Linked DNA regions of Macaca fascicularis. The protein of the gene in region 1 interacts with the protein of each later gene in a pairwise test. Links are inferred from orthologs where the notes say so. Each region holds a gene or a part of one and is shown in the gene's direction. Other genes may lie near its edges.

Region 1 (6,802 bases):
AAACCCCGTCTCTACTAAAAATACAAAAAACTAGCCGGGCGAGGTGGCAGGTGCCTGTAGTCCCAGCTCCTCGGGAGGCTGAGGCAAGAGAATGGCGGGAACCCGGGAGGCGGAGCTTGCAGTGAGCTGAGATCCGGCCACTGCGCTCCAGCCTGGACGACACAGCGAGACTCCGTCTCAAAAAAAAAAAAAAAAAAAAAAAAAAAAGAAAGGCTTCATAGAGAAGGAAGTATGTAAAAGACGGAGGGGCTGTGGGCTGGGATAGGGGAAAGTAGGCGCTTCAGAAAGATAGATGTCTGTAACACAGTCACGTAAGCATGGGGGACTTGAAGCCTGCCAAGAATTTGGAATGACACATTGAGAGAGAATAAGCTGTAGGCTCTGTGAACCCAGAAGGCACCACTGGAAATGCACTCTTTGGAGTGGTGTAAGGCTGGAGAGAGCTGGAACTGTCATTCTTATTCACCACATATAAAACACACAGCCCCAGAGAAGAGTGTTTCAAAAAGGAGGGAGTAGCCATGTCAGAAGTAGCCCAGAGGTGTGTAAGGTGAAGAAAGCGTATGTTTGGATTTAGCGACATGTTAATGGTGGTCATCTGGACAGTTACCAGTGAAGTGGTGAAGAGAAAAGCCATATTGGAGTGGGTGAATGAATGGCAGAAAGCAAGTAAAGATTTGGGTTGTATTATATATATATATATATATCTCCAGTCATTAATTCAGAGACAGGCATGATGGCTCACACCTGTAATCCCAGCACTTTGGAAGGCCAAGTACAGGAGAATCTCTTGAGCTCAGGAGTTTAAGACCAGCCTGAGCAACATAGTGATACCTCATCTCTACAAAAAAAAATAATAATAATAAAAATTAGCCAGGTGTGGTGGCCTGCACTTGTATCTCAGCTACTCAGGAAGCTGAGGTGGGAGGATCACTTGAGCCCAGGAGGCAGAGGCTGCAGTGAGCTGAAATCATGCCACTGCACTCCAGGCTGGGTGACAGAGTGAGACCCTGTCTCAGAAAAAAAATTTTTTTAATAAGAGATAAAGTTTCTGCTTATGTTTTTGTGGGTGACTTGGAGAATTTTTGCTATATAGAGACACAAGAAATGAGGCTGAGCTAGAGGGCTATGTGGGGTCAAGATCTTCTAGAATGAAAGATATTAGAGCATGTTTATGTACTGATGGACATAATACAATAGTGAGGAAGAGAAGGATGGTACAGAGTTTAACCCAAGTGTCAAAATTGTTGAGAAGGGAATTACAGGAGGTGACTAGGCAATTGGTAGGTGACAACAGTGAGAAGTGGAGAACATGCTGAGGGAACACCCTGAAGGACAGAAACCAAAGGAATTGTTGGAAGAATGCAGAGGAGGAGCTACATTAAAAGGATACTTTGGGGATAACCTCAATAAAAATTAGGCATGTATTAGATGTAGTTGGTAAGGGAATGGGAAAAAGTTTAGGTAGAGTGAATAATGTTGAACTTTTTTTTTTTTTTAATTTGAGACGGAGTTTCGCTTTTTTTTTTGCCTAGGCTGGAGTGCCATGGTGCGATCTCGGCTCACTGCAACCTCCGCCTCCTGGGTTCAAGTGATTCTCCTGCCTCAGCCTCCTGAGTAGCTGGGATTACAGGCATGCGCCACCACACCTGGCTAATTTTGTATTTTTAGTAGAGACAGGGTTTTACCATGTAGGCCAGTCTGGTCTTGAACTCCTGACCTCAGGTGATCTGCCCGCCTCAGCCTCCCAAAGTGCTGGGATTACAGGCATGAGCCACCATGCCCAGCGCACTTTTCTAAAATACAAAATATGGAGACAAATTTGGGCAGAAGTTTATAGTTTTGGACTTGCAGAATGTGAGTTTCCTGTGACCTAACCATGTGGAGACATCATTAGGTTGTGGAGCTCCTACATGTTGTGGGATGTAGGTAGGGATTTGGCAGCTTTATTATTTTAAGTCACGGGAAAAAGAGAGTTTGTGTGTGTGTTTAGTGTGAAAAGCTCACTTCAACGAATGAGTGAAGAGGCACTAATAAAGCAGATGGTAAGAAGACCCAAGAGAGCTTCTGTTCATACCTCGTAGTCTTTACACTTGCTTTCCCACTGCCTGGAATGGTCTTTCCCATTTCTCTGTATGGCTGTCTCCTTTACCTTTTTCAGGTCTCTAGTCTTTTGTCACCTAGGGTGAGTCTTTCCTCGATCTCTCTACTTAAAATTGAAATCAGCCGTGTACACACATCCTCGCACTTTGTCTCCGCAGCACTTACCACTGTATATTTTACTGTTTGTTTTATTGCAGGTAAACCACTCTGGCTCGAATGGAAGTTCCATGAGGGCGTGAACTTTTGTTGGTTTATTTTCCTGCGTTCCCAGTGCCTAGAGCAGCAATTGACATAGCTGACGTTCAATAAGTATTTGTTAAATCAATAGTCTCAAAGGTGGAGGAGGCCCCAGCAGTTGTAGTTAATGAAAATCAGTATCTAGCCATGATGCTATGACGCTTTCAGTACTAATACTATGACTGTTGTTTTCTGTCTAAACTTTTTGAAGTGCTGCAACCAGTCGTGTTGGCTCACGCCTGTAATCCCAGCACTTTGGGAGGCTGAGGCGGGTGGATCACCTGAGGTCAGGAGTTTCAGACCACCCTGGCCAACATGGTGAAACCCCGTCTCTACTAAAAATACAAAAATTAGCTGGGTGTGGTGGTGCACGCCTGTAATCCCAGCTACCCAGGAGGCTGAGGCAGGAGAATTGCTTCAAGCCGGGAGGAGGAGGCTGCAGTAAGCCGAGATGGTACCACTGCACTCCAGCCTGGGAGACAGAGGCAGACTCTGTCTCAAAAAATAAAATAAAGTGCTGCTAATTTTGGTGACTTACTGAACATATTTTTTATAATTTCAGCCAGCAGTATCTGTTGGAAATGTTGGCCAGCTTGCAATGGATCTGATTATTTCTACACTGAATATGTCTAAGATTGGTTACTTCTATACCGATTGTCTTGTGCCTATGGTTGGAAACAATCCATATGCGACTGCGGAAGGAAATTCAACAGAACTTAGTATAAATGCTGAAGGTATGTAAGACTTTACCTTGTATTGTTCTGCTACAAGGTAGAGTTGTTTTAGACTCTTAAAGTTAGAAATAGACTTTATTGATAATTGTTTTGTACCAAATGTTTACTTAGTGCCAACTTTGTGTAGAATTCACAACCCAATCACATTGTCCTATTCTTTTACATCCTGGTTTTAGTTGTTAGACTCTTGTAAATGGCAGCTCTTATGAAGGTTGAGAATAAGATCATACTTGTGTGTTTTTTTTTTTTTTTTTTTTTTTTTTTTTTTTAAGACGGAGTCTTGCTCTGTCACCCAGGCTGGAGTGCAGTGGTGTGATCTTGGCTCACTGCAAGCTCTGCCCCCCGGGTTCACGCCATTCTCCTGCCTCAGCCTCACGAGTAGCTGGGACTACAAACGCCTGCCACTGTGCCTGGCTAATTTTTTATATTTTTTTAGTAGAGATGGGGTTTCACCGTGTAAGCCAGGATGGTCTCAATATCTTGACATCGTGATCCACCCACCTCGGCCTCCCAAAGTGCTGGGATTACAGGCGTGAGCCACTGTGCCCAGCCCATACTTGTGTCTTTTATAGAATTTAAAATTTCCTTTTTTTTCAACATGGATTTTTTTCCTTCTATCCTCAGTTTTATTTCTTGTTCTTACTGGTATGTGTAACCATCACTAATAATATGGAAAGGCAAAAAGAAGATTGCATTGGACTCAGTCCTGTAGGTTTAACATATGTTACGTCAACTAAGCCTCATTCTCTTAGTCATCCTCTTCCAGTATAGGATTCGTAATAATATGGTATAGATAAGGCTCAAAGAGATTGACTTGCCTGATGCCACTAATAGGTGTAGGCTCTTCCCATACTGTAAATCTTTGTAATTCCTCATTGGACTATCAGGCTTGATTAATCAGGGAACACTGGTTATAATGCATCACAGCAGCTGGTGAGTAAGAGAAGAGCTCCTGTAGATCGTGAAGCATGGGAGCACCAGTTACTGCCTTTGATGGCTAACTGTTCTGGTGATCTTTCAGTCCTCTGTTTACCATTTTAAGGTCAAATCCAGAGGGATAGAAGAGCACAAAAGGCCTTTGGTGAATTGAAAGACAAATGAAGAAGCATTTTGGTTTTTGTGTCTTATTAACCATATCATTGTTCTTAGCTTACGATAATGAAATGTACATTTGAGAAATGACCTTATTATTGAACTCCCTACAGGACAGATGGCTTTGTCAACACAAGACTAAATTTTAGTTACTGCCTCAGAGGATAAAGGACTGTAAATGGTTAAAACCAGAATTCATGACTGGGTGCACTGGTGCACATCTGTAATCCCAACACTTTGAGAGGCTGAGGTAGGAGGAACACTTGAGCCCAGGAGTTTGAGACCAGCCTGGGCAACAAAATGAGACCCCATCTTTACAAAAAGAAAAAGTAAAAAATTAGCCAACCTGTAGTCCCAACCTCTTAGGAGGCTGACTTGGGAGGACTGTTGGAGCCTGGGAGGTTGTGGCTACAGTGAGCCATGATGATGCCACTGCACTCCAGCCTGGGTGACAAAGTGAGACCATATCTTAAAAAATGAAAGCCCCTAGAATTTGTATACTTTCCGCTAGTGATAACAGCTATCTTTTATTAAGTATTACTGTGAACTGAATGCCATGTACTTTTTTTTTTTTTTTTTTTGATACAGAGTTTTGCTCTTGTTGCACAGGTTGGAGTACAATGGTGCAATCTCAGCTCACCGCAACCTCCGTCTTCCAGGTTCAAGCAGTTCTCCTGCATCAGCCTCCCGAGTAGCTGGGATTACAGGCATGTGCTGCCACACCCAGCTAGTTTTGTGTTTTTAGTAGAGATGGAGTTTCTCCATGTTGGTCAGGCTGGTCTCGAACTCCTGAAATCAGGTGATCTGCCTGCCTTGGCCACTTAAAGTGCTGGGATTACAGGCATGAGCTGCCGCGCCCAGCCGCATTTACGTGTATTTCATTTAATCCTTACAACTGTTTTTTTTTTTTTAAGACGGAGTTTTGTTCTTGTTCCCCAGGCTGGAGTGCAATGGCACAATCTCGACTCACCGCCACCTCTGCCTCCTGGGTTCAAGTGATTCTCCTGCCTCAGCCTCCCCAGTAGCTGGGATTACAGGCATGTGCCACCACGCCCGGCCAATTTTTTTTTTTAGTAAAGACAGGGTTTCTCCATGTTTGTCAGGCTGGTCTCGAACTCCTGATCTCAGGTGATCTGCCCGCCTCGGCCTCCCAAAGTGCTAGGATTACAGGCATGAGCCACTGCATATGGCCTTACAACTATTTTGTAAGGTAGTTTTATATATGAGGAACTGTAACAAAATTATTTATTTATTAATATCTCCCTATATCTTACCCATATTAAAATTGGCCCAGTTTACCCCACAATGTTGCCCAAAGTTTAGTTTGTCCAAACCAGCACCTATAGTATGAGGAGACTTCAAAAAGTTTGTGAGAAAATGAACAAAAAGATAAAAACTATAAACTTTATTTCTGAACATCAGCTTCGTCAAGTTCAAGACACTTTTGTAAGCCATGATGGCAGCCATGTAGCCCATCCCTAAAGAACTGAGGGGCCTGGGAATTAAACCATGTCAGTGCAGTCTTTTTTACATTATTAATTGAAGAAAAATGGGTGCTCTTTGCAGATTTTTTAAGATTAGGAAACAAAAGAAGTCAGAAGCAGCCAAATCAGGACAAGGTGGAGGCGTAATGATTTCCCATTGAAACTTTGACAAAAGTGCCCTTGTTTGATGGGAGGAATGAGCAGCATCATTTTTCTGATGGACAAGGACTCTCGTGAATCTTTTCCAGTTGCTTTTCTGAGAAAGCTTTGGTTGACTTTCTCAAAACGCTGTCATGGTAAGCAGATGTTATCATTCTTTGGCCCCCCAGAAAGTCAACAAGCAGAATGCCTGGAGCGTCCCAAAAAACTGTTGCTATGACTTCTACTCTTGACTGGTTCACTTTTGTTTGGCTGAACCACTTCTGCCTTGGTAGCCATTGCTTTGAATGTGCTTTTTCATCAGGATTATACTGGTAAAGCCACGTTTCCGCCGGGCGTGGTGGCTCAAGCCTGTAATCCTTGCACTTTGGGAGGCCGAGACGGGCGGATCACGAGGTCAGGAGATCGAGACCATCCTGGCTAACCCGGTGAAACCCCGTCTCTACTAAAAAATATAAAAAACTAGCCGGGCGAGGTGGCGGGCGCCTGTAGTCCCAGCTACTCGGGAGGCTGAGGCAGGAGAATGGCGTAAACTCGGGAGGCGGAGCTTTCAGTGAGCTGAGATCCGGCCACTGCACTCCAGTCTGGGCGACAGAGCGAGACTCCGTCTCAAAAAAAAAAAAAAAAAAAAAAGCCACGTTTCATTAGCTACAGTTCCTTAAATATTTCAGGATCTTGGTATCACTTGTTTAAAATTGCCATTGAAAGCTGTGCTCTTGTCTGTAGCTGACGGGACACAATGGTTTTGGTGCTCATCGAGTGGAAAGTTTGCTCAACTTTAATTGTTCAGTCAGAATTGTGTAAGGTGAACCAATTGAGATGTCTGTGGTGTTGAAGGTTGTTTCTGCTGTTAATCGTCAGTCCTCTTCAATTAGGGCACAAATAGGATGAATTTTTCCTCAAATTGAGGTAGATGGTCTGCTGCTGTGGGCTTCATCTTTAACATTATCTCGTCCCTTAAGATGAGTTACCCATTTATAAACTGCTTATTTC
Region 2 (6,902 bases), on another chromosome or scaffold:
AAAACAAACTAGGAGGACCTGGGAATGTCAGCTGGAGATGTTGATTATTGAGTTCTGAGGTAGAGTGTTGGAAATAGGCAATTAGAGAAAGTCCATTGATGTCATTTTGTTTATAATATTGCAGTTCATACTGAATGACCACTTGATATGACTAATTCAGGGAATATATATTTTTATATGAAAGCTATGAATGTTACTATCACGGCTTTTCCTTATTTTTACTTTTATGTAGCAGCATTTACAGAAATGCCAAAAATGTGCCTCATTAAGAGGCAGGTCTTAGTTTAATCAGATAAAAATAAAATATATAGCTTAAGATCAAAACAGTCATATTTTTAGATACAGTGAAATCTTTTATGTTTCTCTACAGCACCTTAAAAATTAGAACTTGAATACTTTGAGTACTTATTACAGTCTCATCCCAACAAACTTTAATGGTAGCATGTTTGGCCTATTTCATCGTGGCCTCTGCTAGGATTAGAAAATCTGGTCGTGGTATAACAAGTGTATTTACAATAGGATTTAATTTGTTGTTAATATGTGTTTGTTGAAATTAAAATTGCCAGATTAAATGAATGTACTGTCACATCTTTTTAACATAGTAACGTGTTATTGGAAAAATTAAGTTGTTGAAAGTAAGTTGTTTTCCCACTTAAAAATATCTAAGTATATGATCTGCATGTGTAAATCTGAAAAACTAAATTACAGAAATCTAGGGTTTTCTATTTTTTAAGTCAAATGCATTTTTTTTTGTTGTTATACAGATGAACCAAGTGTCCAAAATACTTGAGAAATTTGTGGTTGCATGTCTGTTTTAAAAAAAGGCTTTTGTTTTTTAGCATAAGCCAGAATATTCTAACCTACTAAGTCTGTGTCCTTTGCTCCTTTTGTAGTATACTTTCATCTAAACTACTGATCCCCAGTATGTTGATGCACAGGTGAGAAGGGAAGAATTCCTAATAAACTGCTATTACTTTTAGGTGCATGGGTTTTGATTTTTGAGTTCTAATGAAATGCTTAAACTTCTTTCCAGTTCAAAATTTACTTAATTTACATTTCTTGAGTCTATTATGTCCTCAACAAATAACTATAAAATGAAGTACTTAACTCTCAGTGAAGACTATTTTATGCAAAGGTTTTTTTTTTTTTTTTTTTTTTGGCAATTTCAGTGTAACGAAAGAATTTAAGCTTTTAATTTATAATTTGCTGTGGTGGGGTTAATTTCTGTCAGTATTTGAGACTGTATTATCAGTCTTGCATAATGGAATCCTTTTTTGGCTAAGTATTTAATTCGAAGATATTTGCCTTTTTAAAAAGTGGCCTAACTTATTGTAACTGCATGAAATAAGCATTTGCTTAAAACTTAACATTGTAAAATTGTTCTCTCTGAAATGTGTGCAGAATTTAAATCATGGCCAAATATATTACTATTACTCTATTTACAGTAATTTGCTTTGCAGAAAATATTTCTTCATAATGGAACTGTGAAATCAAATTGAAGATCTTTACTGGTAAAAATGACAAATTAACAAAAGGACTAAGACAAGTGGTGCCCAAACAACCTTTTTATTCTGCAGTTCCATCATTATAATAGACCAATTAACCCAGGAGTCCTAATGTTTTAAAACATCATTTTGGTAATCTTGTTTATTCCATCTCACTAAGGATATCCAAAGTTTCCTAAGCTCTTACTGGCTAGCAATTTAGTCTTAATTTTATTGCTAAATGTTCAAATTTTGCTTCCAAACTCACACTTTTTTTTTTTTTTTTGCAGATGTGTAGATCTGCTAAACACTAATTTTATGTAAATGATTTTGTTGATCATTATTTTTCCACATCTTAAAATGTTTCTAGCAGCTTTGAGATTTTATCTCAACAGGCTCTCTCTGACCCCAAAGTAGTACTTACCTTTGTGACTACTGACAAAGTCACAACATGCAGGCGATGTCATGTATTTCCGTACAACTAAATCTAGGAAACAGTTTTTATTTTTCATTGCATTACTGCATATTTTCATTTTCATTTAAATTATGTCCCCTTTTTCTCTTGCTTGAAACAGTGCTCCTCGAACTTTGTCTTCCAGCACATTTGAAAGAGAACCAATTAATCACACATTTTGCTTAATTAAAGGCTATTTAAAAAGAAACATTTTGTATTAGAAAATGGCCAAGTTTAAAAAATACACTATTTTTTACATTCTCATAAAAATGTTTTTAAAATCGGCTTGACAATCATCAGCTTTTGAAATGTGAATACCTATTGCCAGAGTAAAAGTCTCATTTTTATACCACCACGAAGCGCTGTATTTCTTGCTGCCCTTGCGTCCGCCCGTGCCCGCTATCAGAGGGCGCGCCTGGCTCCGGGGGCCCTCAGTGCCACCGCGCGGCCACCTACCTGGGCAGTCGAAATTTGGAGCGGGTGCCCTAAGGTTCCCCCAGTCTCTCCTATCGCAGAAGGAAAAGGGAAAGGCCTCACAGCTCCCAGACGCCACCGCCAGCGGCGCCGGCGCCGCCCCTGCATCCCTGGTTTCGCTACCGCCGCGACTGGAGGCCCCGCCCTCCTCTCGCCCCCCTGCCCCTCTAGCCCGCAGTCCTCCCACCTCTCGACGCCCGCAGGGCTCAAGCTGCGAATGAAAGCATTTGGGGGCCGGACGCGGTGGCTCACGCCTGTATCCACGCACTTTGGGAGGTCAAAGCAGGAGTATCGCTTGAGCCCAGTAGTTCGAGACCAGTCTGGGCAACACAGCGAGACCCCCAACCCCACAATCTGTAATTTAAAAACAAACTGCGGGTAATCCTGGCCCAAGGCGTGGCAGCGCGGGCGAGCACTGTAGAGGGCGTGGCCGCAAGCTCTTGATGCGTCTGGGGGCGTGGCGCCCGCGCCGTGGGGTTGTGGCCGCGAGCTCGGGCTGTGCGCGGAGGGCGTGGCCTGTGCGGGGCGGGACTTATTGCCTGCGCGGTGAGGGAGCTTGGTCTCGCGCATGCTGGCGTGCGCCGTCCCGCGGCGCCGCAGTTGTGTCCAGCCGGTCCCGGGTCGGCTATGGCGGCCACGTTCTTCGGAGAGGTGGTGAAGGCGCCATGCCGAGCTGGGACGGAGGACGAGGAGGAGGAGGAGGAGGGGCGGAGGGAGACGCCCGAGGACAGGGAGGTGCGTCAACAGCTGGCGCGGAAGAGGTGAGGCACCCGGATAAGGGAGGCGCGCTCTCCGCTGCTGGAAAGTGCGCGGGCCTCGCAGCGGCGACGGCACCGAAGGCCGGGGCTCCGCGGTCTTCCGAGTAATCCCCGCGGTTGCCGCCGCTCCGTGGCTCTGCTTGGGCCCTGGGTCTCCGTGAAGCCGCGGAGTCCGTCGGCGCCAGCCCCAGGTGGGTGCGGTGCTCGGGTGGATCCGCTGGCGTTTCGTGGAGTCCAGGGTGAAGCCGCTGTGGGAGGGCTGGGTTCAAAACCGTTCTTTAAAGGCTTCCTGGAGGCTTGGTGTCTTGAGGACTCGTGATCTTCCCGCTTCTTGTCACATTATCTTGGGCCGCAGCGCTCCCGCGGGTCCCACGACGTTTGTCGTGGATTGCTCCTTTGAGGGACGCACCGATTCCCTCAAAACTTTTTAAACCTCCACCCCACACTTCAATTAGCATAATATTTCAGTAGCAGATGAACACTCTTTAAAAAAATTGTTTCCAAACACATAAAAATGTGGGAGAAAATAGTCAAGTGAGCCCTGACCCCTAACACAACCAGGTAAATTCAACGGGAAGATTTTGCCACGTTTATTTCCTCTCTCGCCACTCTAAGCGAATTCCAGTCATCATGACCTTTCACAAATTCTGCATTTTTCAGAATACATCTCAAACGTTTTAGGGATTTTCTTACATACGCTATTATCACCTCTAACAACACTAATACTAACTTTTCAGTATGATTTCATAGTCCATGCTCACTCACGTTTACCTAGTTTTTTCAAACATGATATTTTACAGTGGTTTGTGTGAATGAGGATCCTAACAGGGTCTACAGGTTACATTTAGACGTGTCACTTCATTTAGAGCAGCCTTCTCTTAGCCCTCCTAAGAGACAGGACTGGCTGACCTGTCCAGTGCCCCACACTCTGAATTTGTCTGATAGCTTCCTTGTGGTATCACTTAACGTGTGTTTCACCTGCATGTCCTGTAAATGAATGTTCATTTGTAGGTTTGGTCAGATTCACATTCAATGTTTTGTCGGCAAGAATGCTTCTACTAAGTGGTGCTTTCTGTTTCTTGTTGCAGGCTATCTCCAAGTTGTCTCACTTTTAGGGATCTAAGATTGATCCTTGGGTCAGGTGGACAGCCTGACCACTATTTTAGAGTTCTCCCTAAACACGTATGCAATAGTTTTATCTGTTGGTTATCGTTGCCTGAGTCCATCGTTTTCTGACGATATTAGTTATATTCTTTATAAAACTAACGTGCATTTTATTTATTGTAATACATACATATAGTGCCCTTTTGCCATAATATGATACTGTTTGTATTGAAGTTGCTTTAGTTTCATCTTGTTTCTTGTGTTAGGGAGGTGCGGCTCCTTCGAAGACAAACAAAAACATCTTTGGAAGTTTCTTTGCTAGAAAAATATCCGTGCTCCAAGTTTATAATTGCTATAGGAAATAATGCAGTAGGTAAGTGAAAATGCAGAAGACTTAGTCATTTTGTTGAAAGAATGAAATATAACGTTACTTATATTCTTCTATCATAAAAGATTTAAAATGTTTGGTACTTTAAAAAGCCACAGCAGAGTGTATTTCTGAGTAAAATCTCTCTCCTGTTCATGTTGCATCTTTTTTTTTTTTTTTGGTAGAGATGGTTTCTCGCTGTGTTGTCCAGGCTGGTCTTGCACTCCTGTCCTCAAGTGATCCTCCTGCTCTCAACTTCCCAAAGAGCTGGGATTACAGGTGTGAGCCACAGCACCTGGCCTGCATTATCTTTTTAATAAACTGAAAAGGTCAGATTTAGGCTGGGTGCAGTGGCTCACATCTGTAGCCCCAGCTCTTTGGGAGGCCAAGGCAGGAGGATCACTTGAGGCCAGGATTTGAGACCAGCCTGGGCAACATAGCGAGACGCTGTCTCTACAAAAAAATGAAAAAATATAGCCAGACATGGTGGTGCTTGCCTGTAGTCCTGGCTACTGAGGAGCCTGAAATGGGGGGATTGCTTGAGCCCACGATTTTGAGGCTGCAGTGAGCCATGATCCTCCCACTGATCATGCTCCAGCTTGGGTGACAAAGCAAGACCCCAACTCAGAGAAAAGCTTTAAAGAAAATGTTTTTAGCCTCAGGAACTCAAAACTCAAGGAGCTGTTTCTAGTGTGTTGACGTATCTGGATTTATATAAATGTTTGTGAGTTAATGGACTCCTTTGAGAACACAATGAAAACTCTAAAGACAGTAATAATTATCAACATGTTTAAGTACTTAAGTTCTAAGGTCCTTGCATGTATTAATTCGCTTGGTGGATTAAAGTAAAAACAGTGTAGAGTGCAGCTAGGACAATATACATGTACAAATACACACATATACCTTAATATTTTTAGGGTGTTCACAGGTTCTGATGAGAACATTCAGGAAACCCAGTTAAGATTCCTTCCTCTGTAAGGTACCCCTAGTGCTTGTAGAACATAGTAAGTGCATGATGGCAAGTAACTATGGACTCATTTATATAAAGTTCTGCTGGCCTAAAGGTTTTCAGAAGAGTATTACCCCATGAGCACGTGGTAGAAAGTCTGTCAGCAAACCTGCCTTCTTGATCCCTAGCTCTAGGATTGTCTTAATCAGGGTGTGGCCTTTTACTTCTTGGGAGCCTCAGTTTCTTTTTCTGTGTAATGGTGGTATTAGGTAGATGGTCTTGAATGGCTCTTACAGCTCTCAAATTCTACAGTAACTTGAGCTTGCTTTTTATTGAATAGAAGATACAGCTTGCAGAGCCAAACACTAACTTATGTGAATTGTTTTTTTACAGCATTTCTGTCATCATTTGTTATGAATTCAGGAGTCTGGGAAGAAGTTGGTTGTGCTAAACTCTGGAATGAATGGTGTAGAACAGCAGACACTACACATCTATCCTCCACAGAGGCTTTTTGTGGGTTTTATCATCTCAAATCCAATCCCTCGGTAGGTGGGACTTGTGTGTTCGAAAAGTAGTTATTTAAGTATCACTTATATGGTATTTACTGGTAGTATACTTTAGTATGGCAAGTCTTTCAGTTGCTCTGTCAGTGTGCACTTTTTCTGATACTAATCACCAGTAGTGGTTTGACTCTTAAATTTTAAAGAGAGTAGGTCAATAGTGGAGCCAGGAAAATAAGTATTACCTAAGTGTTGTCATTCACATGTTACATATATGGTGATAGTTTGGGATGTGTGTAAAACTTACTTGACAAAAAACGTGGAACTTGACTTTTCAGGTTTTCCTCTGTCAATGCAGTTGCTACGTTGCAGAAGATCAGCAGTATCAGTGGCTGGAAAAGGTAAGAGAGAAACGAAAACCTGTGAATGGTTAGTCTACAGGAGTTTTCATTTTTTATGGGTTCGGTGTCTTTTAACTTAAACTTATGCAGTCAGATATTTATTTCTTTAAAATATTGTGGGAATTTCTTTTGGAATATAAAGAATAAAAGAACTTGCTTATTTAACGTGACCAACCAATTGTGTTTTATACTTCTGTGACCTACCATCCTCAATGCTGAGGTACAGAAGTATAAAACACAGTTAGTCCTCAGCATTGAGGACGGTAGGTCACAGAAGTATAAAACACAATTGGATTCCTCCCGCCCATCTTTCTTTGTTTACATCACTTTAGATCTTATTAAAAGGTAAAGGGGTTCTTAGAAATCTATCAAATCCAGACTCTTCCTGTTATAGAAGAGGACAGTTAGAAC

The links.
Region 2: the proteins of PSMG2 (region 1) and PSMG1 interact in binary tests that used the Homo sapiens proteins (3 or more experiments, as listed by UniProt). The link is inferred for Macaca fascicularis from reciprocal best matches to the Homo sapiens genes PSMG2 and PSMG1.

What each region holds. Positions count from the first base shown.
Region 1 is NC_088392.1:80,764,755-80,771,556, forward strand, and holds part of PSMG2 (proteasome assembly chaperone 2), read left to right. Parts: intron 1-2,902; coding exon 2,903-3,074; intron 3,075-5,080; exon of another isoform or gene 5,081-5,837; coding exon of another isoform or gene 5,838-5,946; intron 5,947-6,802. UniProt on the Homo sapiens protein: Chaperone protein which promotes assembly of the 20S proteasome as part of a heterodimer with PSMG1.
Region 2 is NC_088377.1:7,819,072-7,825,973, forward strand, and holds the start of PSMG1 (proteasome assembly chaperone 1), read left to right. Parts: upstream 1-3,008; 5' UTR 3,009-3,039; coding exon 3,040-3,173; exon of another isoform or gene 3,174-3,361; intron 3,362-4,540; coding exon 4,541-4,647; intron 4,648-5,983; coding exon 5,984-6,135; intron 6,136-6,428; coding exon 6,429-6,491; intron 6,492-6,902. UniProt on the Homo sapiens protein: Chaperone protein which promotes assembly of the 20S proteasome as part of a heterodimer with PSMG2.